7 linked regions of the Callithrix jacchus genome follow. The protein of the gene in region 2 interacts with the protein of the main gene of each other region in a pairwise test. Links are inferred from orthologs where the notes say so. Each region holds a gene or a part of one and is shown on either strand. Other genes may lie near its edges. The genes, in order: CCDC185, KRT40, MXI1, ZNF202, LAGE3, SNAI1 and RWDD2B.

Region 1 (4,097 bases), on a different chromosome or scaffold from region 2:
GGGGAAACCCCCACCCCCATGATTCAGCTATCTCCCAGGGCCCCTCCCACAACACATGGGAATTATGGGACCTACAACTCAGGATGAGATTTGGGTGGGGACACTGCCAAACCATATCAGATGGTGTAGCTATGGTGGAATAGTCAAGATATAGAGCTGTTGGAGTTATAAACACTTCCTATTAACACAGGGAGGGAAGGCCAGAGAAGTTGACAATCAGGTAAAAACTATAGAGGGCCGTTTCCAAAAATGTTTCACAGAACATCAATTCCATGAAATTATCTGAGAAAATAAAGGGGGGGGGCGCTCTATAATTTGTGAAAAACACTACATTAAACAAATCCGTTTCTTTACTGATGCTTTTTCAGAGCCGTTAACATTTTAAATTGCATTATGAACTCCCAAGAGAGGACACAGTATGCAGGGCTCCCAAATCTGCTTGTTCACAGGAATCCTCCCACTTCTCACTTTTTAAACTTTCTTTTTATCTTGGAGATTTCATATGACAGGTACTTTATACTTTACCCTTCCATAAGTTCTGGGACTGGAAGAGACTTAAGACATACCACAGAACTGTATCCCTGACTAGAGATTTTTCTCTGGTATCTCCAAAATGTGCCCATTATGTGTTTCTAAGATTACTCGAGAGCTAAGTGAGTATTTTCTATTCAAATCAAAATTCACAAAGCCACATTATTTTCATAAAAATTCCCAAAATTTTCTCCCCAACCCTCTAAACTATCCAAGTGAATCAATAAACCAGTTCATGAGAGGAAATTGCAGCAATTTTATATGCTTTTTAAAAATCAATGTTCAATTGTAATCAGATTATAAAAGGAATCACATTGCCACATCTCCTTCTGGCTGCTCCCTCTAAGCCTGGCGTCCTTGGCTCTCAGTGGCGCCCATTCTGCCGACAGGCAGGGAGCGGGCCTCTAGTTCTATCTGATCAAGGGAGCTGTTGCTCCTTGCTCCTCTGTTCTCTCTCCTGGAGGCCTGCGGGAGCTTCCGGAACTCCTGTAAGTTTGAGTCTTTCCCTGGGGTAATGTGCCGCACCCTCTGCTCCTTTTTCTTAATGGCTTCCTTGATGCCCTCAATGTGGCACTTTTCCTCCTTCTCGGCTTTCAGTTTCAGGATGTGGTGGTTCTTCTCACGCAGGTGGTTGAGCTCCCGGAGGCGCTGCACCTTGTCCCTGGCGGTCTTGTGCACATGACTCCTGGCCTGCCGGATCTTCTCATCTGCCAGCTCCACCAGAATCCTTTTGTGCATCTTCCTCTGCTCCCCGGACTCCCCCGCGCGCCACTTGGCCTGCTGCAACTGCTCCTCCTCCTTCTGGGCCTTCTCTCTCATCTCACGGTGCCGCTCCTTCATCAGGCCCTGGTGTATCTCTTGGGACCTCTGGAAACCTTGCTCCAGGGACAGCTGCCTAAGGAGCTCCTCGGCCTTTGCCTGGCAGTCCATGAGGACCTTCCGGGCCTGGTAATTGATGAGGGAGCTCAGGTTGGTGTCCTGGACCTTCTTCTGGCCCTCTGCGGCATGCAGGTGCCTCTTGCGACAGGTCTCCACCAGCCTCCTCTGCAGCTGCAGGCTGTGCTGCTCCCTCATGTTCCGCGGCATCCTCTCCTGCTCCCGCAGGCACCGCACCTGGCACTGCTTTTGGTGCTCTGCCTGGGCGCGCGCCTTCTCCAGCTTCTCCTGGCACAGGTTCTCCTGGTCCTCCGGTTGCTCCTTCCACCAGCTTTCCCCAGGGGGCACGTTCTTCCCCTGGCTGTCCCGCCGCTGGCCGCGCTGCTCATGTCCCGGGAGGGTCTTGCGCTGCTCCTTTTCCTGCTGCCACTGTTCCTGGCTCTGCTGCAGCAGCTGCTGGCGCTCCTGCTCCAGGGTCATCTGGACTTTCTGATCTGAACGCTTCAGCTCCTCCCAGGCCTCAGCCGCCTGCTGCTGCAGCTCCCGCATCCGTTGGGCCTTCTTGAGCCGGATCAGCACCAGGGCCACAATCCGCTGGTCCTGGGAGGACATCACTGCTTCTTCCAGCTTGTTCTTCAACACCTGGGTGTGCGGGCTCCGCCTCTCTTTGCTGGAGGCCGAGGGCTGGAAGTCCTGGCTGGCTAATGACTCAACCTGGTCGCTGCTGTCTCTCTTCTGTGTGCACATGCAGGCCGAGTGTGGCCTGAACTTTTGGGAGGGCACAGAAGACCGCTCTGAGAGAACTAAGGAAGGGGACCAGCGACCTAGACGTCTGCTGAGCGGCACTGCCCACTGGTCTCCACCCTGTGCCTTTTCTATCCTGAATGTGCCACTCAGGGGAGTACCAGCTTCTCCGGGGTAAGGCGGGGGCGAGTCTCCCTGGGCCAGAGGGTAATGCGGGCAGGGCTGCTGTCGTTGGCCTAGCAGCTGGGTTTGCGGCTGCCAGGCCTGGCGGGGCTTGGTTCCTGCCTCTCCCCAGGCATCTTCCAGGCGCCTGCTGCGAGGCCCGTGCTTCCTGGCTCGGTCCAGTGGCCTGCAGGTCACGTCGCTCAGGCTTCGGCTGCCCCGTGGTGAGTCTGGGCACTCGCGTCTGCGAGGGCGTGGGGTGAACGAACAGTGCGGGTGCAGCCAGGGCCCCCCATCCTCGCTCTCCGCACCCAGAGTCCCGGCCCGGGAGCAAGCGGCAGGGCCGGCTCTGGACCTCTGCCTGCCCAGCCGCTGCTTGGTCTCTTGCTCTTCGCCCGGCCGTGGGGGTTCCCAGAGGTCCAGGTAGAGCCGCGGGGAGGAGTGACCGAAGCCTGCCATCCTCCCTCTGGGCACGCGCAGCGTCTGCGCAAGGGGCCTGAGACCTTCATAGGACGCTGCAGACACCGGCCCCGCCCCCCGGTCCCGAGGTCTAGGTCGCCTGTGACGTTCCAGCCACTTCACAATGCGCTTGGTAGCTGGGTCCCCGCAGTCCTCAGCCTTGGCCCGGTGCCGCCCACCCCAGCCTTGCTAGCAACCTAGAATGGGAAGGACAGGAGGCTGAGGATGGGGGTGGGGGTGGGGGTGGGGTGGGGGAGAGAGGGGTTGCAGATTGGAGGAGGGGGTCTGTAGGAAATCAGGGTGACATTTAAAGCTGCAGGTGCATAGTGTCCCCCCACCAGTGTTTGAGGCAGAAGTTTGAACTCGCATTTGCACAAAAATAGCAGGATTTTAAGACAGCCCAGGTGAAGGCGTCACCCTCAGAATGGAAGGGGTGGGTAGAAAGGCCGAGGCACAGTTTCAGGGAGGAGGTACCCTTAGCTGCAGAATCACCGTCCGCCATGTGTGTACCTCTGCAGTGTGCTCAAATAGAAAGGCTTGGACGCATATTAATACCCGACACCAGGCCGGGCACGGTGGCTCACACCTGTAATCCCAGCATTTTGGGAGGCCAAGGCAGGTGGATCACAAGGTCAGGAGTTCGAGGCCAGCTTGGCCAATATGGCGAAACTCTGTCTCTACTAAAAATACAAAAATTAGCCAGGCGTGGCGGCAGGTGCCTGTAGTCCCAGCTACTTCGAAGCCGGAGGTAGGGGAATCACTTGAACCCGGGAGATGGAGGTTGCAGTGGGCCGAGGGCCACACACACACACACACACACACACACACACACACAAAGCGACACCACCCTTTTGCCGTTTTAAGTTAGCAAGCCCAAAGTATGCTTTAATGTTTATATTTTAAGATTTTTAGAACAGGAAGGAGATGACTCTATTCCCTAATGTGGTAATTACTGCTATAGTCAAAATATGAATGCCACATGCACATTTTTGCAATAGCATCAATGAACACCATGCTGAAATCACATTATTTTTTGCCCTTTTCCTCCAGTTTTGTGGGATTCTTGTTTCTTGTTGAGGCACCCTTGGCTAATGGGAAAAGCACTGGATTTGGTAGAGAAAATGAATTTGAATTTCCTCCACCACTCTTCACTTTATTGGGCAAATTCCCTAAGCTTCCCCACCTCCAGTTCCAGCAAGGTGGAGTGGGAAGAGGGGCCTGATGATACCAGCATTACAGGACTGTTGTGAAGCTCAGGTGAAATTGTGCATCCAGAGGTTGGCACCAGAATACATTCAATAAATACTATTTTGGTGCCATGCTAA
Region 2 (4,262 bases):
TTTGGAGTAGTGGGTAAAAGTGTGAGATTTTTATTCAGATTGCCTAGGCTGAATCTCTTTTCACCACTTACAAGGGTCTCAGTTGCTTCATCTGTAAAATGGGCATAATAATTGGACATTTCTCCCAAAGGTTATTGTGAGATCTAGAAGAATTAATCTACATATAATTAACTTATAAATGTCCTGGCACATAGTAAGTTCTCGATGAATGTTAGCTATGATTGCCATCAAAAAATGTTCAAAGAGCAAAGTAATTTGTTACGTCATTCAGCTTTTCATTTTCTAGCTTTATTAATATATCAATTGCTTTATATTTTATGAGTTTTAAAAGTTTATAAATGTGGAATATTTAAAAACACTGGTCCAGATAGTGCACGGGTCTTTCTCTCTTTTTGAAATGGCCTTCACAGTCTGTTTCTCAGCCTGATTTTTATAGCCGGTGGATTGGAATTAGGAGTGGCATAAAACCTCCAAGGAAAGCCATTTGTGGAGTTATTCACCTTCTCCACAAAGGCAGGGGCAGGAGAAGAGTTTGATTTCTTCGTCTGGCACTGGCCAGGGGTATTTCACATCTTAATTCAGAGACACACTGGAATGATCAGGCTGAGCAGTAATAATGCCTTGAGCAGTTTTAGTCTAGCTTAAGCAACATCTGCCCTAGTTCTATTCACAAACATCAACAGATCATCTGTCAGTGTAACTATGTCACTCTTGGAGTCCTTCAACGGAGTTGCCACTTTCCTTACCTCTTCATGGGTTTTCTTAAGGCAAAGAAGATCTTCCTTCAGAGACTCCACATGGGCCTCCAGGTCGGATTTGCACAAGGTCAGCTCATCCAGGATTCCATGCAGGCCGCTGATGTCAGCCTGTAACAGCTGGCGAAGGGACAGTTCACTGTCGTACCTTTCACAGCAAAAGAGAAATCCAACACTTATTCTGTTGAATGCTGTGCAAAGTGTGAGGATACATGGAGGATCGACATATGAATTTCAGGAAGCCACATGCAGAATTTCTCTTAATTCCTGAGTAATGATAAATTCAAGCTTTTAAGACATTCTTAACTTTAAGATATTATATAGAGAATATTTGTGTGTGTGTGTGAGAGAGAGAGAGAGTGTGTGTGTGTTTGTGTGTGTGTGTGTGTGTGTGTGTGTGTGAGAGAGAGAGAGAGAGAGAGAGAGAGAGAGCGCCATAAATTATTTTCAAAATAAAATTAAGCCTGGGTGTGGTGGCTCATGCCTGTAATCCCAGCACTTTGGGAGGCCAAGGCAGGCAGATCACCTAAGGTCAGGAGTTTGAGACCATTCTGGCCAGCATGGTGAAACCTCTTCTCTACTAAAAATACAAAAATTAGCTGGGCATGGCAGCACATGCCTGTCTGTAATCGCAGCTACCTGGGAGACTGAGGCAGGAGACTCGCTCAAACGCAGGAGGCGGAGGTTGCAGTGAACCATGATAGTGCCACTGCACTCCAGCCTGAGCAACGAGGGAAACTCCACCTCAAAATAAATAAATTAAATAAAATTCAACTCACTTTGACTTAAAATCCTCAGTGGCCAGTTTGCAGTTGTCAAGCTGTACAGCAAGTCTAGAATTCTCTGCCTTCGTGCATAAGATCTGTGAAGAAAGTCCTTATTTAATAAAGTATTCTTTGAGAGAAACCTAAATAAACTACTATCCAACAGCTATGCCATTAGTTATCCTTTGAAAGTCTTTATAAGAAAGTGTAAAATGGCCGTTAGCTGCTTTCCGTATTCACCGTGTCACTTGATGAAGCAAACAAGCAGTGCCAATTCAGAAACAAAATAGAGACATAAAAAGGTTCACTTTTTCTCATAACATAAGACATTTTGCACTATTCCTAGGCAGTGGAACGCCATTAACGTTTTTCTCCATCAGTAGTTTGTATTATGACTATACCCTCTCCCATAATGGAAATTCATCAGGGAGAGAAGAAAATGACTAGGTGGTTAAAAAGATGGCATTTCATGATCTGTGTTCAGATAATATAAATGTTCAGTGTCACATACAAAAGCGATTTTGGATATAACACAGTCTTTTTGCATTCTATAGATGACGAAGGAAAAGTCCACAGACAAGTTACTTTGTTATAGTTACTCAGTAATCAGGGGTAGCTTTAGGGGTGGGACTGAGGTTTCCCGACTTCCAGCACAGTGCTCTTCCCTATGTACCATTAACTTGTAGAACTCTCCTTTCTCTTGGTTTCCTTCTGTAAAACAGCACCTTCTAGTAGAAAGATAAAGCAAACCATAGATCGAGAAGCTGGAGCACTAGGGCAACAGGACATGCACCTTTTGTTGGAGATCTTCAATGGTGTTGAAGTAACACTGATAATCGGGACATGCCAGTGGGATATCCTGTTCACATTGCTCTTGGATCCTGGATTCCAGCTCTGCATTGGTCTCCTCCAGGCTGCGCACCTTCTCCAGATAGTTGGCGAGTCTGTCATTCAGGAACTGCATCGTCTCCTTCTCATTGCTAGTGAACACTCCATCCTCACACCAGGCACAGTTCCCCACCAAGCAGGGACTACTACAACTCCCAGTAAAGTAGCATGGCAGGAGGCAACCGGTCAGCCCGAGAGACCTGGAAAGGGAGCTAGGGGTCTGACATCGGGATGCAGCACAGGAACCGGGGAGACAAGCTGTCTCCATGGAACAGCTTGAGGCAGGTGCACAACAGGAAGCCCTGGTACAGGACTCAGGAGAGCAGAGCGTGGAGGAGCAGTCAGAAGACATCCTTCTAGAAGCAAAGACAGAGACTGGCTGCAAAACACCAGTTGCCTTGACTCCAAAACACTCCTTCCCTCCTGAGAGTTTTATATAGCGCCCCCTCAAAATGGGTGTTTACAGACTGCACCGGATGTTTTCGTCATCATTGATGGTGCCGGTTTTTATACAAACATCTCATTAGAGTTGTTTATTTACTGAAGAAGAGTTGTATGCCTCATAAAAGGGGGATAACTTTAGGTTACCAAAGCAGGGCCCACACCATTTCCATGTGCAAGACAAAACACTTATTTCAGAAAATCATCATAGGAAGCATTGTCTTTTTGACAGAATAAGAAAAGAAAGAGAACATTTGGCCAATCAATAATTATAGATACAACTCATTACAAATCAGGAAATTAATATTCCCACAGATTTTGATTCTGTGCATTGATTGCTTGTGTCTTCTTTAAAATTAGTATTACGGCTCATAAAAGGACATTCATTTGTTTGTCCACCACTATAAAAATGGTCAGTGTGGTTAGCAATCTTCCAGTGCTTTTTGTGATCTTAGAGCATGTGCTGACAGGACTGGAGAAGTGAGGTATATACTGGGTTTAAAGAGTGTGAGTGTGTGTGTGTGTGTACAAACCATGTCTACCTGCATACAAATGGAAAAGTCTCTTTACACAACTGATAGGAATAACTTGTTTCCTGTAAGTTAAAATATATATTGGTTAGAGCTGGAATTATGATCTTTGACTTCCTGAAACTTGCCTTCTCCACACTTCTTATTTTTAGATAAGTCATACAATTTTACCTGTATTCCTAATAAGAGTGAAATATAAATTTTCTAAGTTATAATCTTTTAGTCCCTTGGGAATTCCTCAGTGATTATACTTCAGAAAAGAGGGAGGAACCCACAGGAGTCTTTGCTTCTGAGATGTATAAACATACTGGAACTTGGGAAATAAAATTCTATTCAGGTTCCAAATGACTAATTCCACTGGTTGAAATCTCTGATGCCAAATCTGACAGATAGGAGCTTGAGATGTGTGACTTTTTTGGATTCTCTCTTGAATTTCACCTCCGTTATGAAGTACAATCTATTTCACTTTGCTTAGCGTTAGTCATGACATGTATTTCATTTTCAAAGGTGCACAGAGAAAATTGCCTCTAGAATTTTTAAGAACATTATAGGAAAAAAACACATTAATCTGAAAAAGTTAAAAAATTTATGATCCAAAATAAACTTATTTCTTCTCCTAATCTTGAGTGCTGCTTCCTGGGTAGCTGAGAAGAGAAACCAAACCAAACCAAGCCAGAGAACATATGTAAGTGAGTTAAAATAGTCTCTTACTCCCTGGGCAGAGTTGAGTTTGAATTTAGTGATTCTCTTTACACATCAACACTTATGAGAAAAGTTTTTAGAGTGCTTCATGGTATGCTGATGCTGCTTTGCAACAAACACAAGTTCAAGGATTCAAAAACACTTTCAAAAAAATCACAACTCTCTGAAAGAAAACGATCTTT
Region 3 (3,500 bases), on a different chromosome or scaffold from region 2:
CAAAGACAAATATTTTAGGATAGATGGAGAGAGAAATTAAGGATGTGGTATTTTTTGAACTCTACATATAAAAATTCACTTCACCAGTAATAAAAACATTGACATCATGTATCTTCCTGACAAAATGGATTGAGAAGGGCACAACATCATTTCCGTGACATTCCTTGCCCAAATGTATACACGCAATCTAATCATTTGAAAACATCAGACAAACCCAAATTGAGGGACATTGTATAACACAATTGACCACTATTCAAAAGTGTTATTGTCAGGAAAGAAAGACCAAGGAACTATAATGCAATGTGGGATCCTGCATAGGATCCTAGACCAGACAAAGTATGTTGGTGGGGAAACTGGTAAAATTTGAATAGAATCTGTAGATTACTTAATAGTACTCTATCAATGTTAATTTGCCGGTTTCAATAATTGTATTGTGGTTATATAAGATGTTAATTTTAGGAGAAGCTGGGTGAAGAGTTACATGAGAACTCTATAATTTTCTATAGGAAACTTAAAATTTTCTGTAAGTCCGAAATTATCTCAAAATAGAAAGTTAAAAAAATAAACATTTTGAGGGAAATTTCTCCTCAACCTCATGGATTTACCTTCCCTGTGCCCTGAAAGAACTATGATCATAGTGATGAGCGAGTTCTGAGTATTCAACTTCATCTTAAAAACAATACTACTCCACATCTTTCACAAGGCATAATTCAGCAGTTAACAGTGTATCTGAACAGAAAATCCACAAATATGTTCACAGTTTACCCCTACTCCTTAAAGACCTGTAATTGAACTTTTAGTAACTGTCTTAACTGCATCATATATATATACACACACACACACACACATATATATACACACATATACATACATATATATGTGTGTGTGTGTGTGTGTATATATATGTATTCAAAAAAACAGTTTTATAGTCCACACTGGCACTGCTAGACAATATTATGATTGCATAAAACCTAGAATATTACAGTTGGCTAGAAAGAAAGTAAATACAGTGCCTCCCAACATACCACCTACAGAGATATTTAGTATTTCATTATATCTCCAGATACAGAGGTATTTAGTATTCCATTATAGAAGAGGCAAGCTGCCTACCTCGCTCTGAATCAGAACGATCTGAAGAAATAGTTGATCCAATGCTGTCCATTCGTATTCGTTCCATCTCCTGAGGACCCTGCAGCTGTTCCAGTCGCCGCTTTAAAAATCTCTGTTCTCGTTCCAAGTTCTCGAGCTGGTGCTGGCTCTTCCTTTCAGCTTCTTCAAGTTTCTGAAATGAAATGGTATTTACATTTGTGTATAGTCCAGTACAAACAATAAAACTGATTCCTTCTTTGGCAGAGAAAACATGAATGAATATACACAAATTGTGTGTGTGTGTGTGTGTAAAATATACACATTGTTTAAAGCCTCCAAAATGTGAATGTATATAAATACATATTTTTAAAAATAAAATATAGTTCTGTCTTTTCCTTTTCTGTGTACGTAATGCATGCTATGCTACTTGAACAAGATGGACTTCTAAAAGCCTGTAAACTAATCTCCACGGAGAAACTTCCTCTGTGTGGTATTTGATGGAAAAATACTGAAGGACACAGCCAAATGAAGTCATCTCCACCAGAGGGCACAACTGCCTTCCTTCTGAGTATGAAGAAGGTAATTGTTATTTTCCTGGTGTTCCCAGCTCTTCAAATGGCCACGTTGTCAAAACAGTTTAATCAGGTTATGTTGTTCCCATCAGATTAGCTGATAAGTTTTTAGAAAGATTTCTCTTGAGGTCATTTATTAAGGAGGGCATGGTGAACTAGCTGATGTATATGAATAGGAATCACTGCCAATAATTAAACCAGAACTGAGTGAATTATGCAAATCTGAAAGTAAAAATTCTCACCTTGATGTGTGCTTTGGCTTTGTTGAGCAAACCAAGTGTTGTGTGCCTGGTGCAGTCTGGTCCTAGTGGAATCAGAACTTTTAAGCGTTCTAAACAAAGGCGCAGATGAGCTCGTCTAAGAAAGACAAAAAGTCAACACAATCTGGATATTCCACTAGAAATATCATAAAACCTATTTTCAGATAAATAATTTGCATTTATTCAGCCTATAGGGTGGATGTTACACCCCTAATTCTCCACTTTCGAAGAATCCGCAAGTGTAGGGGGTGGCTGCATTTCAGTCTGCTATTTCTGTTGTACTCTGTAGACAACAGTCACTTTAGATTATTATCCCCAATGGTAATCTCTGTCAAGATGGTTTATTTTTTAACTCACCCCATAAACTGTCTCAACTATATTAATATGGAAGTGTGTAAACATACCAGGACAATTTAATCTTGAATAAAACCATAGGCAAGAGGAGGGGTTTTCAGCTGTAGTACCTCAAGGGAGTATAAAATGCTCTTAAGTTTCTATTTCCTCCCTCCTACCTTTTACTTGCACACACAACACACACATACACAACCTACCTCTCTACAACTGTAGCCATCCTACAGTGTTACATTTGTTGTATATTAGGTTGAACCATATGAAATTTCTGATATTCACCCATTTTTCACTTATAAAAATGGTGATTTCTTATACTCCACAGAAACAGCAAAATTCTGTTGTGGCCAGCTAGGGTAGGGTTAGACAAAATATATGCCCTATGGTCAACTCTAGGCACAGAAATAACTCATAAAATAATCCCCTGCCTCTTAACTGTACTAGCTTATTAGCTTAATATTTATTTTTCTCTTCTCTCTCCACCTGCCTCCAGTCGACAAGGACAACAGGTGACAAAAATTCTTTACTGAAATTCATTGCATTCTCTAATCTACCCTTCCTGTGGGAAAGTTGAAGGAAATTTCTCCTCAACCTCCTGGATTTACCTTTCCTGTGCCCTAAAAGAACTATGATCATAGTGACGAGAGAGTTCTCAGTATTTAACTTCATCCTAAAACAATACTACTCTACATCTTTCACAAGGAATAATTCAGCAGTTAACAGTGTATCTGAACAGAAAATTCACAAATATGTTCACAGTTTACCCCTAACTCCTTAAAGACCTATAATCAAACTTTTAGTAACTGTCTTAACTGCATCAAGAACAAAATACACACCCTCCATTTTCTTCTGAAAGAGGACCAAAATGGTTTTGCTAATTCACACACCAAACTATGCACTTTCTCTGTCTTAAAAGACAAGAAATAATGTCAAGTGAAATGCTCAAAGGCTAGGAATTTGAAAGAGGGTAGGAGAAGGCAATAAGCAGCCAATTATGTCATGACAAGCAAGGATGATTAAGGGTAGTGAGGTCAGAGGTTTGGCTGATGAATTGTTAAGATTCTTTCAGCACCTACTAACCCAACTATAGTTAAAGGTCTGACAGTATTTCCATTCCAAATTTCTTGATTGAGTTCAATACCTCAAGTCTAATAATTGGGTCCAGGCTGAAACCTGACATAACTAATGTGGATAAAGGAATCCCTCAATTAAAAGTATATCCATGGATTCT
Region 4 (3,946 bases), on a different chromosome or scaffold from region 2:
AAGAAATAACAATACTATTCTCTGAGCTTCTGATGTTCCAATCAGTTCATGAGCAATGTCTCATTTAGTCCTCACAGTAAAGGTATTATTATGCCCATTTTATATTGTTGTAACCGAGAGAGCGGGAAATCACCACTGAGACAAAGACTAGGCCAAATTACAGGGTCTTTATTGCAGGCGGCCACGGAGGACTTGGGTCTCTCTAACCCGTGGCCCCAAAAGAAGGGTGTCAAGACCTTTTATGCCCGTTAACCACCTCCTGGGCAGGGGTGAGGGTGAGGGGCTTCGGACATTCTGAAGGCCAGTGGACTTTGGAATTCCGCAAACCACCTCCCGGGCGGGGGTGAGGGCGAGGGGCTTTGGACATTCTGAGGGCCAGTGGACTTTGGACAGTCCATAAACCACCTCCTGGGTGGGGGTGAGGGTGAGGGGCTCTGGACATTCCGAGGGCCAGGGGACTTTGGACACTCCGATTGTTACTTAAGTGGTTCACAGAAATCAAGATAAGCGTTAGTTTACACATCGCCTGGGTAGGGTGGAAATTACAGACCTTAGTTACTTATTACAAGTCACAGGGGCCAAGATGGCGTGGGTTTGGACTGCTTGCCTATCACATTGGGGTTACAGAGAGCAGTTTCCATGCAAAGCCGAAGTATGGTCGAGGTATGCAGTTTATGGGGCAATTACCATGTCACAATATGATGCACACTAGGGTTCAGAGATGGGAGATACTGGGCCGAGGCCCTGATGCTGATGGTGGATGCAAGAGCCAGTATTCAAACCTAACGCTGCCCTTTTCTACCATGCTGCCGCAGACAATGCAAAGAAAATATCAAGAAAAACACATCGATGTATCCAAAACAATCACACAAAAGACTAAAAACAGAAAACAAAAAGAAGAATCTTGCAGAAGGTATACGTATAAATGAAAAGCCTAAGATATTAACTTATTCGCTGCAGAGTAGGGTTGGTCGCAAAGGGAAGCCGTGGGGTCCAAAGCTTCTTTGCACTGGGTCTTTGGCGAACACCCGAACCGCAACCCGCGGAGAGCGGAGAGGACCAAACCTCCCACAGCCTAGAAAGGCTCCAGCGCGGCGAGAAGGCGGGGCTAGCGTTCTCTTCCGGTTCCGGGCGCAAAGGCCCCACGTGTTCCGACCCGCTAGGCCCCGCGCGGCTCGGATCCGGCGGCGCTGTTTCGATCGGGAGTGGGTGGGAGAGAAGCCGGGGCAGGGGAGGAGCCGCCGGAGCTGTCGGAGCCGTGAGTGCTGAGGGGCCTGGGCTGGGCCGGGCCGGGCTGGACCGGGCCGGACCAGATCGGGCAGAGCCGGGCAGGGCAGGGCGGGGAGGAGGGGGAGGGACCGGAGACCCCGCCCCCCGAGAGCCTGGGGAAATCACCGTGTCCTGGGGAAGGGGCGGCGGCGGTGTACTGAGGGGACCGAGACGTTGTGGCCTCTGTGTTTCCTGGTGGCGAGAGCCAGTGTCTCCGGGGACGCGGATGGCGCTCCTGGCTTCCTTCCCTTTCCAGCCACCGCCCTCCGCCCCCTCCTGGGGCCTGCAGAAATGTAGTTAGTCCGTACCTCGTACCTCCCATCGCTTCCGCGCCACTGTCCCCCCGGAACAGAGGGAGGAGTGGTCTAGGCCCCTTTATTTTCCTCAGCCTTTTTTCACCCCGACTCTCAGATTGCTTAAGATCATCTCCGCGGGTTCCTTGCCCCGGCGAGCCCTATCTCCTTACACCCCCAAGCTCCCTTCATTCCCCTCGCACACACTCGGATACACTCACCCGTGATCTTATCACCTGTGATGATAGTAGTCCTTGGCGTCCATCTGGCCAGTGGCTTTTCAGCTACCACTGTGACAGACTCTTGAGCTTCCCCTCAAGCCAGTAGCTGCTGTCTCCACTTGCAACTTTCCTCTCCCACTCCTAACAGCCAGTTTTGGCACCTCTTCCCAGCACTAGCATTACTTTTAGCAGGAGTATACCTGCTTCTTGTCTGTCTTGATTTAAACTTTGTTAGTTTGCGTGCCCTGGATAGGCTGTGTTCTTTCAGAAAGCTGTCAGTTTAATTTTTGTTTTTCTGAACAATGAATGTTCTTATCGCCTAGGCGCTTTGATAATCCTGTCTGCCTTGGAATCTGTACTGACCTCCCCAGAGGGAGACTCTTAGACCCAGCCTTTCTTGAACCACCTTGATCCTGGGGAGCAGCGCCGTATCCCAGGCTCTCCCTTAGAGGCTGGGCTTAGAACTGTTGTTTTTTTTCTCTATCCACGCTCTGCAGGTGACACCCAGGGCAGCTACACTCAGAAGCCACAAGGAAAACTAGTGGAGCCTCTCATCCCTCCCAGCTTCTCTTCTAAGCTGCCCCGTGGGGCTTGATCCAGGAAGCTACTTCAGAAAGGTTGTGGGATAGCCGTGAGAGGCTTGTTGGTGGGAAGCGTGGGAACGCGGAGCAGTCTTGGAGAACTTTCTGCTGTTACTATGTAGCATAAGAGGGTGGGCAGGGTTGGAGAGAGGACAGGCATTTTTCCTCCTAGGACCAAACACCTGGGATTCATAATCTTTCACCCTTTTTCCTCCAGCTATACACTTTTTGTACTCTTTATAGTATATTGCAGTAGACAGTCATTCCAAGGGTACAACAAGGTTTACTACAATGTGAGGGACTCAGCCATTACAAATTGTACAGATGAGGTAAGTTACAGATTTACATTTTTTTCCCCAGTTAATTTGGCACAGATTTAAAATGTGAAACAGTTCTAGACCCCTTGCTTTTACTGTTCTCTCACCAGCAAACCCTTTAATGTAGCCAACAATGGCTTTCCGCATGAACTTCAGATTTAGTTCGTTTGCTTCAGGTGATGGTTCTCAAACTTACTATAAGCACCTGAAGGACTTGTTAAACACATACTGCTGAGGCCCTCCCCTAGAGTTTCTGGTAATAGGTCTGTGCTGGGCTTGAGAATGTGTACTTCTAACAAGGCTCAGGTACTGATGCTGCAGATCTGGGTTCTTCACTTTGAGAACAACTACCTTTTGGCCAAATGTAGTATCACCTTGCAGTAGGTTGGGGTTCAGAAGACCCTTGTTTGAGCACTTCTGTGTTGGAAACTAGTAATCTGATCTTTTGTGGATAATTTAATCACCTAGGTCTGAATATTTTGTTCGTAAAATTAAGAACGTGTACTTAACTGAGTACTATATGCTAAATTTGAGGTGAAATATTGATGAGTTCTTCCCGTTGGTTTTCTTAATTCTCTTGATAGGGACATCACTTTTTGATCATATAAATTACACCTGTATTCTGGGCTTTTGCTGTGAATTCCTAGTATTGCTAAAATCCTGCTATTTCTTAACTACCTGTTAAGTTCCTTAAGGTCAGACCTTCTGCTTTTTTTGTCTTTCTCTGCCCAGCGCCTTGAATAGTGTGGGATACAATTGATGCTCAGTAGATACTTGTGGGTTGATCTCCATCCCTTGTCTTTCTCCCCTCTTGAACTTTTTCTCCCCTGACCTTATGCTATACAGTAAAGCAGGTTATGCTTATGCCACCTGATTACCCCAAGAGATTGGAATGAATGCTAATGCCAAATTCCTGCAGCTATCCCTGTGAACGGTTTATTACCCAGGAGCCCTGCCGATTTCTGAATTTTCAGTGTTTCTAGAATATATACAAGTTGGGGAAGGAGAAATAGAAAGCTAAATTAAACTCAACATGCATTTATTGGGCACCTTTTCTACTAAGGGCTTGACAAAGTGGTAGGCACTGGGAATATAAAAATGAATAAGGAGATCCTTGCTCTTGAGGGCAGGGCCCACAGTGAGGAGACGGACACTAAGCCATGCCCACAGCAAGAATGACTTCTGGGATTACTTCTTTGGGTCATGATTTGGTCTTCAGTGGGAACCTGGTACTCCTCAGATTCCTCTGGTTCAGCAGGCAGGGA
Region 5 (3,393 bases), on a different chromosome or scaffold from region 2:
GCATGTGAGGAAGCTACCCAAGGCCAGGGAAAGACATCACCCCAGCAGGAAAGGAAGAAAGGTGACTCCAGTATGCAAGCAGGACAGGGACTAGCAGCTGTCCCCACCCACCAGGATACAGAAGCTCATATTCACCTGGGCAGCATTGGCCAGGGTGCCCTGAATGGTGTTTGTTGCCTCCATAGCCGGGAAACTGAAGTCTACCATAAGAGCTGCTCCAGTCCCATGCAGCACATCTTCAGAGAAAGACTAAAAAGGATCAAACCGTTTCCATGTTTTCTGAGGATACGCAGTTGTACCTCTTTATTTCCACTCTCAGAAAATCCAATTGAATCTACAAAAGAGTCCTAAGACTGAGTTTAGTGTATTTACAGGGAGCCAACTCCTTCCCCAAACACTAGTCAGTTGACCCAGCACTTTCTTCACTGTTAGAGGAAAGAAGCTCATGTTAGATTTAAAATTCAGGAAAAAAAATTAACGCTAAACTTGCAAAAATTATATGCTGTATATTACAGTTACACGTTTATTACTATTAACTTCAGGGGAAAACAACTGTAATAAATGTAACTATAAGGAAGGATTCCAAAATGTTGACAGTAGTTGATGCTGAATGAGAGCCCAGCTGATTTTCATTTTCTTCCATTTCCTAAATTGTCTTCAATTTCCTTGAATATCTGGATTCTAGAACCTCCCCTGTAACCGAAGCACAATGACTAGAATATTGGGAGGTGCTGTAGCTGAAATAAACTCAGACTTGGAACAGTAGCTCAGTTTTATTTTCTGTGGTAACAAACATTTAAGAACCAGATCAAACAAGGGGCCCCTGAGCACCCACGGGCCAGTACAGGCCGACCATGAGGCTTTCACAGGAAAATAGCAACTGTGGGAACTCCTGCCCTAGGGAAAGCTGGGTGCCCTACCTAGGGAGACGCAATATTAGACCTCACCCCATTTTCCCAGGCCAGGCTTAGCGGGGAACGGGGGGCCCAAAGCGCTGCATGGTCCGCAGCACCAGGGAAAGCTGGTCGAGAAAGTTGATGACGGAAATTCGGAGCAGGCGACAGTCTTCAGCTTTCCAGCGGCTAAAAGTGAGGGATAAAGAAAATAAAATTGGAGGTGACAACTCCTGGTCCGTCACTCTGCCGCTCAGGCACCCATTACAGCAAAGCCTCGGGAGCCCATGAGACAGCCCCTCAGGTGGAGACCGGCCCGGCGCACCTGGCGCTCCTTAGGGTTCATCCATGGGTGCCCCCTACGTCTCCATCGGTTGCCTCCCCCAACTCCAGCCCCTTTCAGAACTTACACGGTCAGGATCCTGCCGCTCACTGTGAGATCCTTCCCAATCACCCTTTGGTGGGGCTCGGCATCTGGAGCCAGGGACCCATGCGCGATTTCCGCCTCCAAGGGGGTCGGGAAAGGCACACTAAGGGTGCTGGGGGGGCATTCGGTTAAGGTGCCATCTGATACGACTTTGCCTATGTCTCAGGCCTTCTTGATCCTCTGAAGCCCCCCCTCAGGTCACCCTACCTAGAGTCATTCGCTTTACTCCTCACGTGGCCCAGGCCACCGCTGGCAGGGCTTCTCTCCTTCCATTTCTATTTCTTCCCCTCCTCCGAGCACCCCTGCTCGTCTACCCCGGTCGCCGCCCGCCCTCCTTTCTTCCTCCCCGAATCCAGCCCTCGCCCCGGCGCAGGCAGCCGCCAGTCTGTTCCCGACCTCCCCTTGGAAAGAATACAATATGTGCGGCCGTATTCCTGAACCCCTGGCCGCAGATGCGGCGTCTCTGCCAGGACCTGGCGGGTGCGGTGGGGAAGGTTCGTCAGCCGGAGCTCCCGCTGTGTCCGTGCCCCTGGGGCAGCTGTGGCCACCCTGGCCATCCCTGCCAATTGTGCCTGCGCCAGCGTGTGCATTCGCGCACCGCATGACCTCCGCCGCCACGCAGCTCGGACTCCACCCCCGAGGCGCAGGCCCCCACGCCCCGCCCTCTCTCCCGGTCCCTTTCCCGAATCCCCGCCCCCTGCGCCCGACTCCGCCCACACGCGCCGGCACTCGTTCTTGGGAAGCCTGCCTGGCGCGTGGTCAGTTCCCGCCAAGCGGCCCTGCCGGGTGCCTTCTGAGACCGAGTCAGCGGTTAAGAGGCCGCGGTCTCCTCCAGAAACTCTGTCCCTTCGCGCGTAACTCGATCCCAGGCCGTCAGTGCAAAGTGACCCACAGTCAGTCAGGCCCCAGGAAGCCAGCCCTGACGGGGTTTTGAAGACCCCGTGGTCGCCTAGCCCAGAGGCGCACCCTGCAAGGCTCCGCCCCTAACTGCGCCTTGTGACCGCAGCGCGCCTGCGCCGTCTAGGGCCTGTGGCCTCGGCCGGGCAGGCCCTAGTGAGGCCCTAGTGAGGCCCGAGGGTGTCTGGGCGCTTCCCGCCCTGTTTCTTACCGGTACCCAATATCCCCCGGAGATGTGGCACTAACGTGCATGCAGCGACTCGCGGAGGGACGGTGGCGGGGTCTGATACCCCCCCACAAGGATACTGCTCTTGCCCACGACCCCATGGTCCAACCGAGGGGGCTTCACAGTGGACGGTAAAGAGTCGGATTTACATTTTAGAGGAGGCATTTTAGAGCGGGGTGGGGGCGCTGTGCGGAGCGGGAGCCTGTCAGCAGAACGCCTGCACTGAGGCGAAATATGACGGCCTTGAACGCAAGTATTGGCGCTGTGCCTAGGTCTCATATAACGTGGAAAATCAGACTGCACAACTATGAGTATGAAAATGCCACTTTAGGCCGGGCGCGGTGGCTCACGCCTGTAATGCCAGCACTTTGTGAGGCGGAGGTGGGGGAATCACCTCAGGTCGGTAGTTCGAGACCAGCCTGGCCAACATGGAGAAATCCCGTCTCTACAAAAAAAAAAGAAAGAAAATGCCACTTTAGGGCAGGCTAAGTGGCTCCCGCCTGTAATCCCAGCACTTTGGAAGGCCAAGGGAGGAGGATCACTTAAGCCCAGGAGTTCAAGACCAACATGGGCAACATAGTGAGACCACATCTCTACAACAAATACAAAAGTAACTTTTCTTTTCTTTCTTTTCTTTTTTTTTTTTTAGAAACGGGGTCTCACTATGTTGTCCAGACTGGAGTGCAGTAGCTATCCACAGGTGCAATACTACTGATCAGCACTGGATTTGACCTGCTCCATTTCCAACCTGGGCCGGTTCACCCCTCCTTAGGCGACCTGGTGGTTCCCCGTTCCCGGGAGGTCACCCTATTTATGCTCAACTTAGTGCGGACACCCGATCAGCATAGTGCACTACAGCCCAGAACTCCTGGGCTCAAGCGATCCTTCAGCCTCAGCCTCCCGAGTAGCTGGGACTACAGGCACGCAACACCGCACCTGGCCAAAAATAA
Region 6 (3,313 bases), about 47 Mb from region 2:
GCAACAAGACAGAGGTGTGGGGCTGACACGGAGGCCCGAGGGGCCCGGAGCCCTTGGAAACAGGAAGGACATCCTCTGTTTCCTTGGTCAAATTCTACTCACATCTAGGGGAAACGGGCAATCCCACCCCAAAAGACCTGCAGTGCTGGGACAGAGCTTTGCAGCCTGCCTAGCTGGTAAGACCCAGGAAGCCAGCTTTGCACCCCGAGGGTCAGATCAGCTTCAAAATTCAAGAAAGGAAACAAGAGCCACAGTGTATAGTGAAGAGCTCATGTGGACGCTGGCGGCTCACCCACATGCCAGCAGGCAAGACACCCGGGCCAAGGGGAAAACCCATCTCATAAGGTCCCTGACAGTGTCACCCAGGACTCCAAAGCCCTGTGAGTTTCCCAAGGACAAGTTTTAAGGCTGTGTCAGAATATCTAAGCTTCAGGAATTCCTGTCCCCTTCTCCCTTACCAAAGACCTTTCAAAACACCCACCCCTCTATTACAAAGAAACTTTTTAATATATAAATTAACTGCTTTATTGAATATCAATAAACTGCATATATAACTATACAAAACGTTTCCTTGATACAAAATGCTTGAAATATAAATACCAGTGTACCTTTAAAAATGTAAACATCTTCCTCCCAGGCCCACCTGTCAGGCACCCAAAATAGTTCTGGGAGACACATGGGTCAGACCAGAGCACCCCACTCAGGCCCCCGACAAGTGACAGCCATTACTCACAGTCCCTTTTGAGACATTGTTAAATTGCCCGGGAACAGGTGCCACCCCGCCAAACAGGAGGTTGAAATAGCAGTCTGCCACCACCTCCGCAGGCCCCGGGGCTGCACCTGGGGGTGGATTATTGCATAGTCAGTCACACCTCATGGAGGGTGGTCTGAGGGTTCCTTGTGGGGTGGGGGTGAGGGGAGTAGGGTCCCCTGAGTGGGGTAGGAGTCCGCTTTCATCCCGTAGCTCAAAGCAGCTGTATCCAAACAGCTCTGGATACAAAAACCCACGCAGAAAGGCCAGCTCAGGACAGCCCCCGGCCTGGGGCTGCCAGCTGCCCTCCCTCCACAGAAGTTGCCACGGGCAGGCCTCTTCCAGAGCCCACTGAGGGACCCAGGCAGAGGAAACAGAACCAGAAAATGGCCTTCATCAAAGTCCTGTGGGGCTGAGGCAGCCAGAAGTGGGGTGCTCAGGAGGGAATTCAGTGAGAAGGACCTGGGCCCTTCCCGCTGGAACTGCGGGGAGGCTGTCAGGGAGGGGCTGGTAAGGAGAGGAAGAGGGAGCCTAGAGGGTCAGCGAGGGCATCCTGAGCAGCCGGACTCTTGGTGCTTGTGGAGCAGGGACATTCGGGAGAAGGTCCGAGCGCATGCCTGGCACTGGTACTTCTTGACGTCCGAGTGGGTCTGGAGGTGGGCCCGCAGGTTGGAGCGGTCGGCAAAGGCACGGCTGCAGTGGGGACAGGAGAAGGGCTTCTCGCCTGGGGAGAGAATGGCCAGAAAGGCTGAGTGAGCCGTGGGACAACAGCTGGCAGCGATGGGAATCCCTCCCCACGTGCCCCAAAACCTGAAAGAATCCCATGATCCCAGGAAAGCCAGGCCACAGTGAAACGAGCATCCAGGCTCCAAAGGCCAGGACCTGACAGAGCTCTGCTGCTTCCCACGGTACAACCCCAGGCAAGCTGTCTGGCTTCTCTGAGCCTGCATCTTCCACCTGTAAAATGGGGCTATTCGCTCCCCACTCATAGGGGTCGGTAAGTGGCAGGAGATGGGGTACAGCACTCATCATCCTGCAGGAACGTGGGAAGGGGTGCAATGATGACTGCACACTTTTACTGATTGGTCCTACTGTCACTCAATCCTACAGTGGTCCTCATTTCAGAGAGGGTGAAACCGAGGCCCAGAAGTAGCATGTTCAGGGTCCCCTGGCAGGACCCCAAAGCCTCTGATTTCACCCACTGTCCTTACTGCCTTCAGTCAACGGACGATGTGGCTGGTGTGCCTTGTGGTCCTGGAGTCACTCCTTGATTTATTTTGTTGGGGGCCAAAGCTAGAGTCAGCCTTACTAGGCCTCCCCACCCCCACTGCAAGGTGGTTAGGCCACCCCCGGGCCCGGCCAGCATCCTGCTTTGCTCACCACCCCACCTCCTGTGCCGAAATCCCAAATCTCCTTGTCTGTTCTCCAATGAGGCCGAATCCCATAAGGGCAGGGGCTTCCCTGAGTCCATTTAAGCCCAGCCCAGGGCCTGGGCCCCTTTCTACCACCCAAGAGGCTACAGAAACCAGTGCCCATGACACACCAACTGCCTGGCTAAGGCTGTGTTGGGAACTCAGTCCTCAATAAGCCCTTAGAGAAGAAATAAGTATTCTTAAAAATAAAAAGGCCTCAGAGGAGCCTGCCCCTTACTCGTGCCTCATCACAATCTCTGCTCCAACCAAAAGCCTACAGTTCCAAAAACACCAATCAGGTTGTTTTGTCTTTTTTTGGGGACACAGCATTTTCCAAACAAAAAGTAATAATAGTTACTCTTTAAACAGAAACCTATGGAGGCCAGGTGTGGTGGCTCATGCCTGTAATCCCATCACTCTGGGAGGCCGAGTGAGGCAGGAGAATTGATTGAAGCCAGGAGTTTGAGACCAGCCTGGGCAACAAAGAAAGACCCTGTCTATAAAATTTTTTTTAAATTATTGAGCTCCTACTATGTGCTACACACTATTCTATAATACTGAACAGTCTTTTTAAAAAATATGCAATTCTCCTATCCCTTCACACCCAGTCCGATATGCCCTAAGGCCAGGGCTGGCTGTTAAATCCCAGTGCTGGATGAAATTTAAGAGCTGGGAGTGAATTAATTCCATCAACTCCTGGGTACCTAGGGTGCTTCACTGAGCTAGCAGGGTAGGAGGGAGTCCAGAGGATGCTTCCAATGGGACCTATACATTCAACAGGGACCTACGGAGAGCCTGAGAGCTGGGCTCAGTCTCTGGAAATGTACCACTCCACAGGGTGGGGGACCTAGGGGATGGGGGAGGGGATGGCTGGGAGAGCATACTACTCCACTCTGCCATTACTCCGCACGTTGGGCCTGCAGGGTTTGTTGATTGCATTCTGAGTCTTCATGTGAAAGAGAAAGTTAAGTTCTCACTTGTGAACTAAGGGCTGACTCTGGAGATCTGGTAAAGGGGCTGGAGTCCATTCGTAAGACTGGGCGGGTTATGATGGTACCCCCTTCCCAGGGCTGTGGTGAGCCTGAGCACTGCCTCCTGCACAGTAAGTGCTTTAAGTGTGATGGCACACACACGAACAAAAGAGAAAGGA
Region 7 (4,237 bases), on a different chromosome or scaffold from region 2:
GCTTGCTACTATTTACTAGAGTAAATTTTAAATAAGTGCTTGCTACTATTATAATTATTAATTAAAAAAAAAATTTTTTTTTTTTGAGACCGGGTCTAGCCAGAGTGCAGTGGCACGATCTCGGCTCACTACAACCTCCGCTTCCTGGGTTCACCTGATTCTCCCACCTCAGCCTCCTGAGTAGCTGGGATTACAGGTGTGCACCACCACGCCAAGCTTATTATTGTATTTTTAGTAGAGACAGGGTTTCACCATATTGGCCAGGCTAGTCTCGAACTCCTGACCTCAGGTGATCTACCTGCCTCAGCCTCCCAAAGTGCTGGGATTACAGGCATGAGCCACTGTGTTGGGCTGCTTGTTACCATTATTATTATCAATCATCATTTCAACAAATGTTTCTCAAGCACTTCTTATGTTCAAGCATTGGCACTAAGATAACAATGAATGAAAGTAACAAAACAGCTCTACCTGTGGAAGGATACCGTGACATCAAAAAAACATAATTTATATGCCCAGTCAAGGTGCTGTGGCTTATGCCTGTAATCCTGGCACTTTGGGAGGATGAGGTGGGCAGATCACCTGCGGTCAGGAGTTTGAGACCAGCCTGGCCAACATTGTGAAACACTGTCTCTGCTGAAAATACAAAAATTAGCCAAGTGCAGTGAAGCACGTCTGTAGTCCCAGCTACTCAGGAGGCTGAGGCAGGAGACTCACTTGAACTGGGGAGGTGGAGGCTGCAGTGAGCTAAGATCACACCAACTGCACTCCAGCCTGAGCAACAGACTGAGATTGTCTCAAAAAAAAAAAAAAAAGTATTTATATGCCCAGTGAATAACCATTATGAAAAAGTCTGAGGAAGAAAACAAGTTAAAGGGAAACAATGGGGCAGCAAAAGGTGAGACTGCACATGGGGTTGTCAGGAAAGACCTTTCTCCTAAGGGGACTGTAGTGAAGACTTCAAGGAACTGAAAAAAAAGGCCCTGTGTTTTTCTTGGCCAAGAGTGTTCGAGGGAAAGGGCATGTTCAAAGGCCTTGAGGCAGGCGGGTGCTAGAGCAGCTGGCCAGGGCAGAGTGAGCTGGAAACAGGGGACAGAAGAGTTTAGTAAGGAAATGTGGAGCAGTTTATGTTGGGACTACTACAGCATGGCCAGAATTCTGAATTTTATCCTGACACCTAAGAGCCACCCTGAGAGGTCTGACTTAAACACACTTGCTGCTATGGAGAATAGTGAAGGGAAAAGTGGGGTGACAAGAGAGACACTGCAATAACTAGGGAGAGAGGATGGTGGCTTGGATAGGATTATAGTGGTCAAGACAGTAAGCTTCAGCTTCTGGATATATGGAAAGAGCAGAGGCAACAGTATTTACCGATGAATTATATGAGACGTGTAACAATGACTCCAAGGCTTTAAGCTACCGGAAGCATGGATCTGCAATTTATTTAGACTGTGATGCTCACGGGGATATGAAGCTTGGTTTTAGACGCAAGTAATGAAGTGCCTACTAAGACACCTGTTAAATAGAGATGTCTAGCAGGCAGTTAGACATACAATTTTGGAGTGTATGAGACTCAGCTGGAGATATAATTTTGGGAGTCAACACTTATTTAGACCTACGTATTTGTTTAAAAGTCTCCCGAGTAAGTAAAGTTGGGAGAAGGTCCTACTGAATTTGGGATATCGAAGTTGGAATTAGCAAAGTAGTACGCGATGCAGGGACACTTGAATGGACAAGTAGGGGAGTGACGTCACAAGTCATTTATCTGCCAAATTATTTTCGCTGAAGAGATTTAAGTACTTCCAGAAAACCCTCAAGATAATTTTATGACTCAAGATTTCAACGAATGTTTTAAGAAAATAGACTGTGGCCGGATGCGGTGGCTCACGCCTGTAATCCTAGCATTTTGGGAGGCAGAGGAAGAGGGATCGTTTGAGCCCATGAGTTCAAGACCAGCCTGGGTAACATAGGGAGACCTCGCGCCTAACTATTTTTTTAAAATAAAATATATTCAAGGCCAGGTGCAGTGGCTTACGCCTGTAATCCCAGCACTTTGGGAGGCCGAGGCGGGCGGATCACGAGGTCAAGAGATCGAGACCATCCTGGCCAACATGGTGAAACCCGGCCTCTACTAAAAATAACAAAAAAATTAGCTGGGCGTGGTAGCGCGCTCCTGTAGTCCCAATTACTCGGGAGGCTGAGGCAGGAGAATTGCTTGAACCCGGGAGGCGGAGGTTGCAGTGAGCCAAGATTGTGCCACTGCACTCCAGTCTGGCACCTGGTGACGGAGTGAGACTCTGTCTCAAAAAAAGATAATAAATAAATAAAATAAAATATATTTAAGAGAACGTAGACTGAAACTTGAGATTTCTGCGTGGAATAATTTATTTTCCTTGCAGATTTGTTTTGAAGAACAGAATACAGTACTCCGCAACTCAAGCCGCGATGCTCTCAGGAAGAATGCCCAGCATGCAGCCGCCCCCGCACTCAGACTGTGCCTTGGGCGAGGTCCCCTGCTGCAGCGGGGAGCCAAGGCCAAAAGCCGAGCCCACCGATGGGCGCATGCGCACCCTGTCAAACAATTTCGGAAAGAGTTGCAGCGTGGGAAAGCCCTGTGGCACTCACCACTGGCGCTAGCTGAAGCGAGACTTACCTTGAGCCGTGGCCCCTTCACTGCTGTACTCCGGGTTCCTTGGCTGGACGGACAGCTCAATTTTTATCAGGAGGGAACCTCAAAATTCTAGCATACTGCGACCCCAAACTTACAAACCGCCTCAGTCGACGACCCGCTGGAAAAGAGGGCGCGCCCTCGGCTGGCGCATGCGCGCGCAAGACCGCGGGCCGGAAGCTGGTGCTGGCCTGTCTGGCGCGGTGTCCGCCAGTGTTTGTCTCTGGAGTTGGAAGGACGGAGGGAATGCTTTGTCCCTGCTCAGTTGCAGTTTTCTCCTTCTTCTTCTTCTTTTTTTTTTTTTTTTTTTGAGACGGAGTCTCGCTCTGTAGCGCAGGCTGGTGTGCAGTGGCGCGATCTCGGCTCACCGTAGCCTCCGCCTCCCGGTTCAAACGATTCTCCTGCCTCAGCCTCCTGAGTAGCTGGGATTACAGGCGCGCACCACCATGCCCAGATAATTTTTGTATTTTTTAGTAGAGACGAGGTTTCACCATGTTGGTCAGGCTGGTCTCGAACCCCTAACCTCCGGTGATCCGTCTGCCTCGGCCCCCCAAAGTGCTAGGATTACGGGCCTGAGCCATCACGCCCGGCTAATACCGCTACATGCCAGCCCCGTTTTCATTTCACAGTGGCTGTCACTGTCGTATAGCGGGCACTTTTCAGGGATAAGGTATTGGTCCGTTAATGCTCCTCAAACTCCAAGGTGCCTAGGAATAGTTTGGGGATTCTGTTGAAATGCAGATCAGGGTTCCGTAGGTAGGGGTAGGGTTCTAAATTCTGCATGTCTAATATCTTCCCACACCATGGTGATCCTCCTTGTCCCTGAACCATGGAGGAGAAGGGCAGTTAGGGAGATGGGAGCCCAGATGCAGGTAGCCTTGTCTATCTTATGTGTTCTTGCCCAGTAACCAAGCTGGGAGGATCTGTGTGAATGCTTATTTATTTATCCCTGTTAATAAAAGGATAGTTTGTAGGAAGATGCTGACAGGAGAGTAATTGGAAATGTTTTTCTTCCCAATCCAACTATATGCAATATGCTTCTAATATTCATTTGAGAAATGTCATAGATAAGATTTGCAAATCTTATTCAGCAATACTAGATATCACTGCTAGCTCTTCCCCACCCCTTTTTAAAAACAAATAGATGCTAGTATGTAGGTCTTCATAAACTACATCTGCACGGTGTTTCATAAGCGTTTTTCAATGTCACCATTTATTTTTTCCTCCAACATTATGGAAAAAATTCAAGTGTTAAGCAAAGTCGAGAGAATTTTACCGTGGAGCAGATCTCAAGAGAAGGGGAAGGAAGGATTTAGCAGTGTCTGAAGACATTTTGGGTAGTCACAACTGGAAGGATGCTATTGGTATGAGGTAGGTAGAGCCCAGGGATGCTGCTCAACTTCCTACAATGAACAGGACATCCCCCAACAACTACGAATTTGCTGGTCCAAAATGTTGATAGTGTTGAGGTTGAAAAACACTGACCTGGAGGTATAGAATTTAATCTACCAGCTTTGTCACATATCTCATCAATCTATCTGTTTTCTTTTCTTCTTTTTTTTTTTTTTTTTT

What was found.
Region 1: the proteins of KRT40 (region 2) and CCDC185 interact in binary tests that used the Homo sapiens proteins (3 or more experiments, as listed by UniProt). The two-hybrid records come from large-scale screens. The link is inferred for Callithrix jacchus from reciprocal best matches to the Homo sapiens genes KRT40 and CCDC185.
Region 3: the proteins of KRT40 (region 2) and MXI1 interact in binary tests that used the Homo sapiens proteins (3 or more experiments, as listed by UniProt). The two-hybrid records come from large-scale screens. The link is inferred for Callithrix jacchus from reciprocal best matches to the Homo sapiens genes KRT40 and MXI1.
Region 4: the proteins of KRT40 (region 2) and ZNF202 interact in binary tests that used the Homo sapiens proteins (3 or more experiments, as listed by UniProt). The two-hybrid records come from large-scale screens. The link is inferred for Callithrix jacchus from reciprocal best matches to the Homo sapiens genes KRT40 and ZNF202.
Region 5: the proteins of KRT40 (region 2) and LAGE3 interact in binary tests that used the Homo sapiens proteins (3 or more experiments, as listed by UniProt). The two-hybrid records come from large-scale screens. The link is inferred for Callithrix jacchus from reciprocal best matches to the Homo sapiens genes KRT40 and LAGE3.
Region 6: the proteins of KRT40 (region 2) and SNAI1 interact in binary tests that used the Homo sapiens proteins (3 or more experiments, as listed by UniProt). The two-hybrid records come from large-scale screens. The link is inferred for Callithrix jacchus from reciprocal best matches to the Homo sapiens genes KRT40 and SNAI1.
Region 7: the proteins of KRT40 (region 2) and RWDD2B interact in binary tests that used the Homo sapiens proteins (3 or more experiments, as listed by UniProt). The two-hybrid records come from large-scale screens. The link is inferred for Callithrix jacchus from reciprocal best matches to the Homo sapiens genes KRT40 and RWDD2B.

What each region holds. Positions count from the first base shown.
Region 1 is NC_133520.1:5,346,495-5,350,591, forward strand, and holds the start of CCDC185 (coiled-coil domain-containing protein 185), read right to left. Parts: upstream 2,801-4,097; 5' UTR 2,773-2,800; coding exon 874-2,772; 3' UTR 1-873.
Region 2 is NC_133506.1:92,275,914-92,280,175, reverse strand, and holds the start of KRT40 (keratin, type I cytoskeletal 40), read right to left. Parts: upstream 2,801-4,262; 5' UTR 2,760-2,800; coding exon 2,313-2,759; exon of another isoform or gene 1,618-2,312; coding exon 1,535-1,617; exon of another isoform or gene 904-1,534; coding exon 747-903; intron 1-746. UniProt on the Homo sapiens protein: May play a role in late hair differentiation.
Region 3 is NC_133513.1:103,218,345-103,221,844, reverse strand, and holds part of MXI1 (max-interacting protein 1), read right to left. Parts: intron 2,019-3,500; coding exon 1,904-2,018; intron 1,283-1,903; coding exon 1,111-1,282; intron 1-1,110. UniProt on the Homo sapiens protein: Transcriptional repressor. MXI1 binds with MAX to form a sequence-specific DNA-binding protein complex which recognizes the core sequence 5'-CAC[GA]TG-3'. MXI1 thus antagonizes MYC transcriptional activity by competing for MAX.
Region 4 is NC_133511.1:23,371,644-23,375,589, reverse strand, and holds the start of ZNF202 (zinc finger protein 202), read left to right. Parts: upstream 1-1,146; 5' UTR 1,147-1,258; intron 1,259-2,280; 5' UTR 2,281-2,400; intron 2,401-2,581; 5' UTR 2,582-2,693; intron 2,694-3,946. UniProt on the Homo sapiens protein: Transcriptional repressor that binds to elements found predominantly in genes that participate in lipid metabolism.
Region 5 is NC_133524.1:150,271,164-150,274,556, forward strand, and holds LAGE3 (EKC/KEOPS complex subunit LAGE3), read right to left. Parts: upstream 1,959-3,393; 5' UTR 1,924-1,958; coding exon 1,736-1,923; intron 1,433-1,735; coding exon 1,304-1,432; intron 1,083-1,303; coding exon 968-1,082; 3' UTR 948-967; exon of another isoform or gene 694-947; 3' UTR 501-693; downstream 1-500. UniProt on the Homo sapiens protein: Component of the EKC/KEOPS complex that is required for the formation of a threonylcarbamoyl group on adenosine at position 37 (t(6)A37) in tRNAs that read codons beginning with adenine.
Region 6 is NC_133506.1:45,529,566-45,532,878, reverse strand, and holds the end of SNAI1 (zinc finger protein SNAI1), read right to left. Parts: intron 1,476-3,313; coding exon 1,291-1,475; 3' UTR 501-1,290; downstream 1-500. UniProt on the Homo sapiens protein: Involved in induction of the epithelial to mesenchymal transition (EMT), formation and maintenance of embryonic mesoderm, growth arrest, survival and cell migration.
Region 7 is NC_133522.1:35,080,590-35,084,826, forward strand, and holds the start of RWDD2B (RWD domain-containing protein 2B), read right to left. Parts: upstream 2,801-4,237; 5' UTR 2,651-2,800; intron 1-2,650.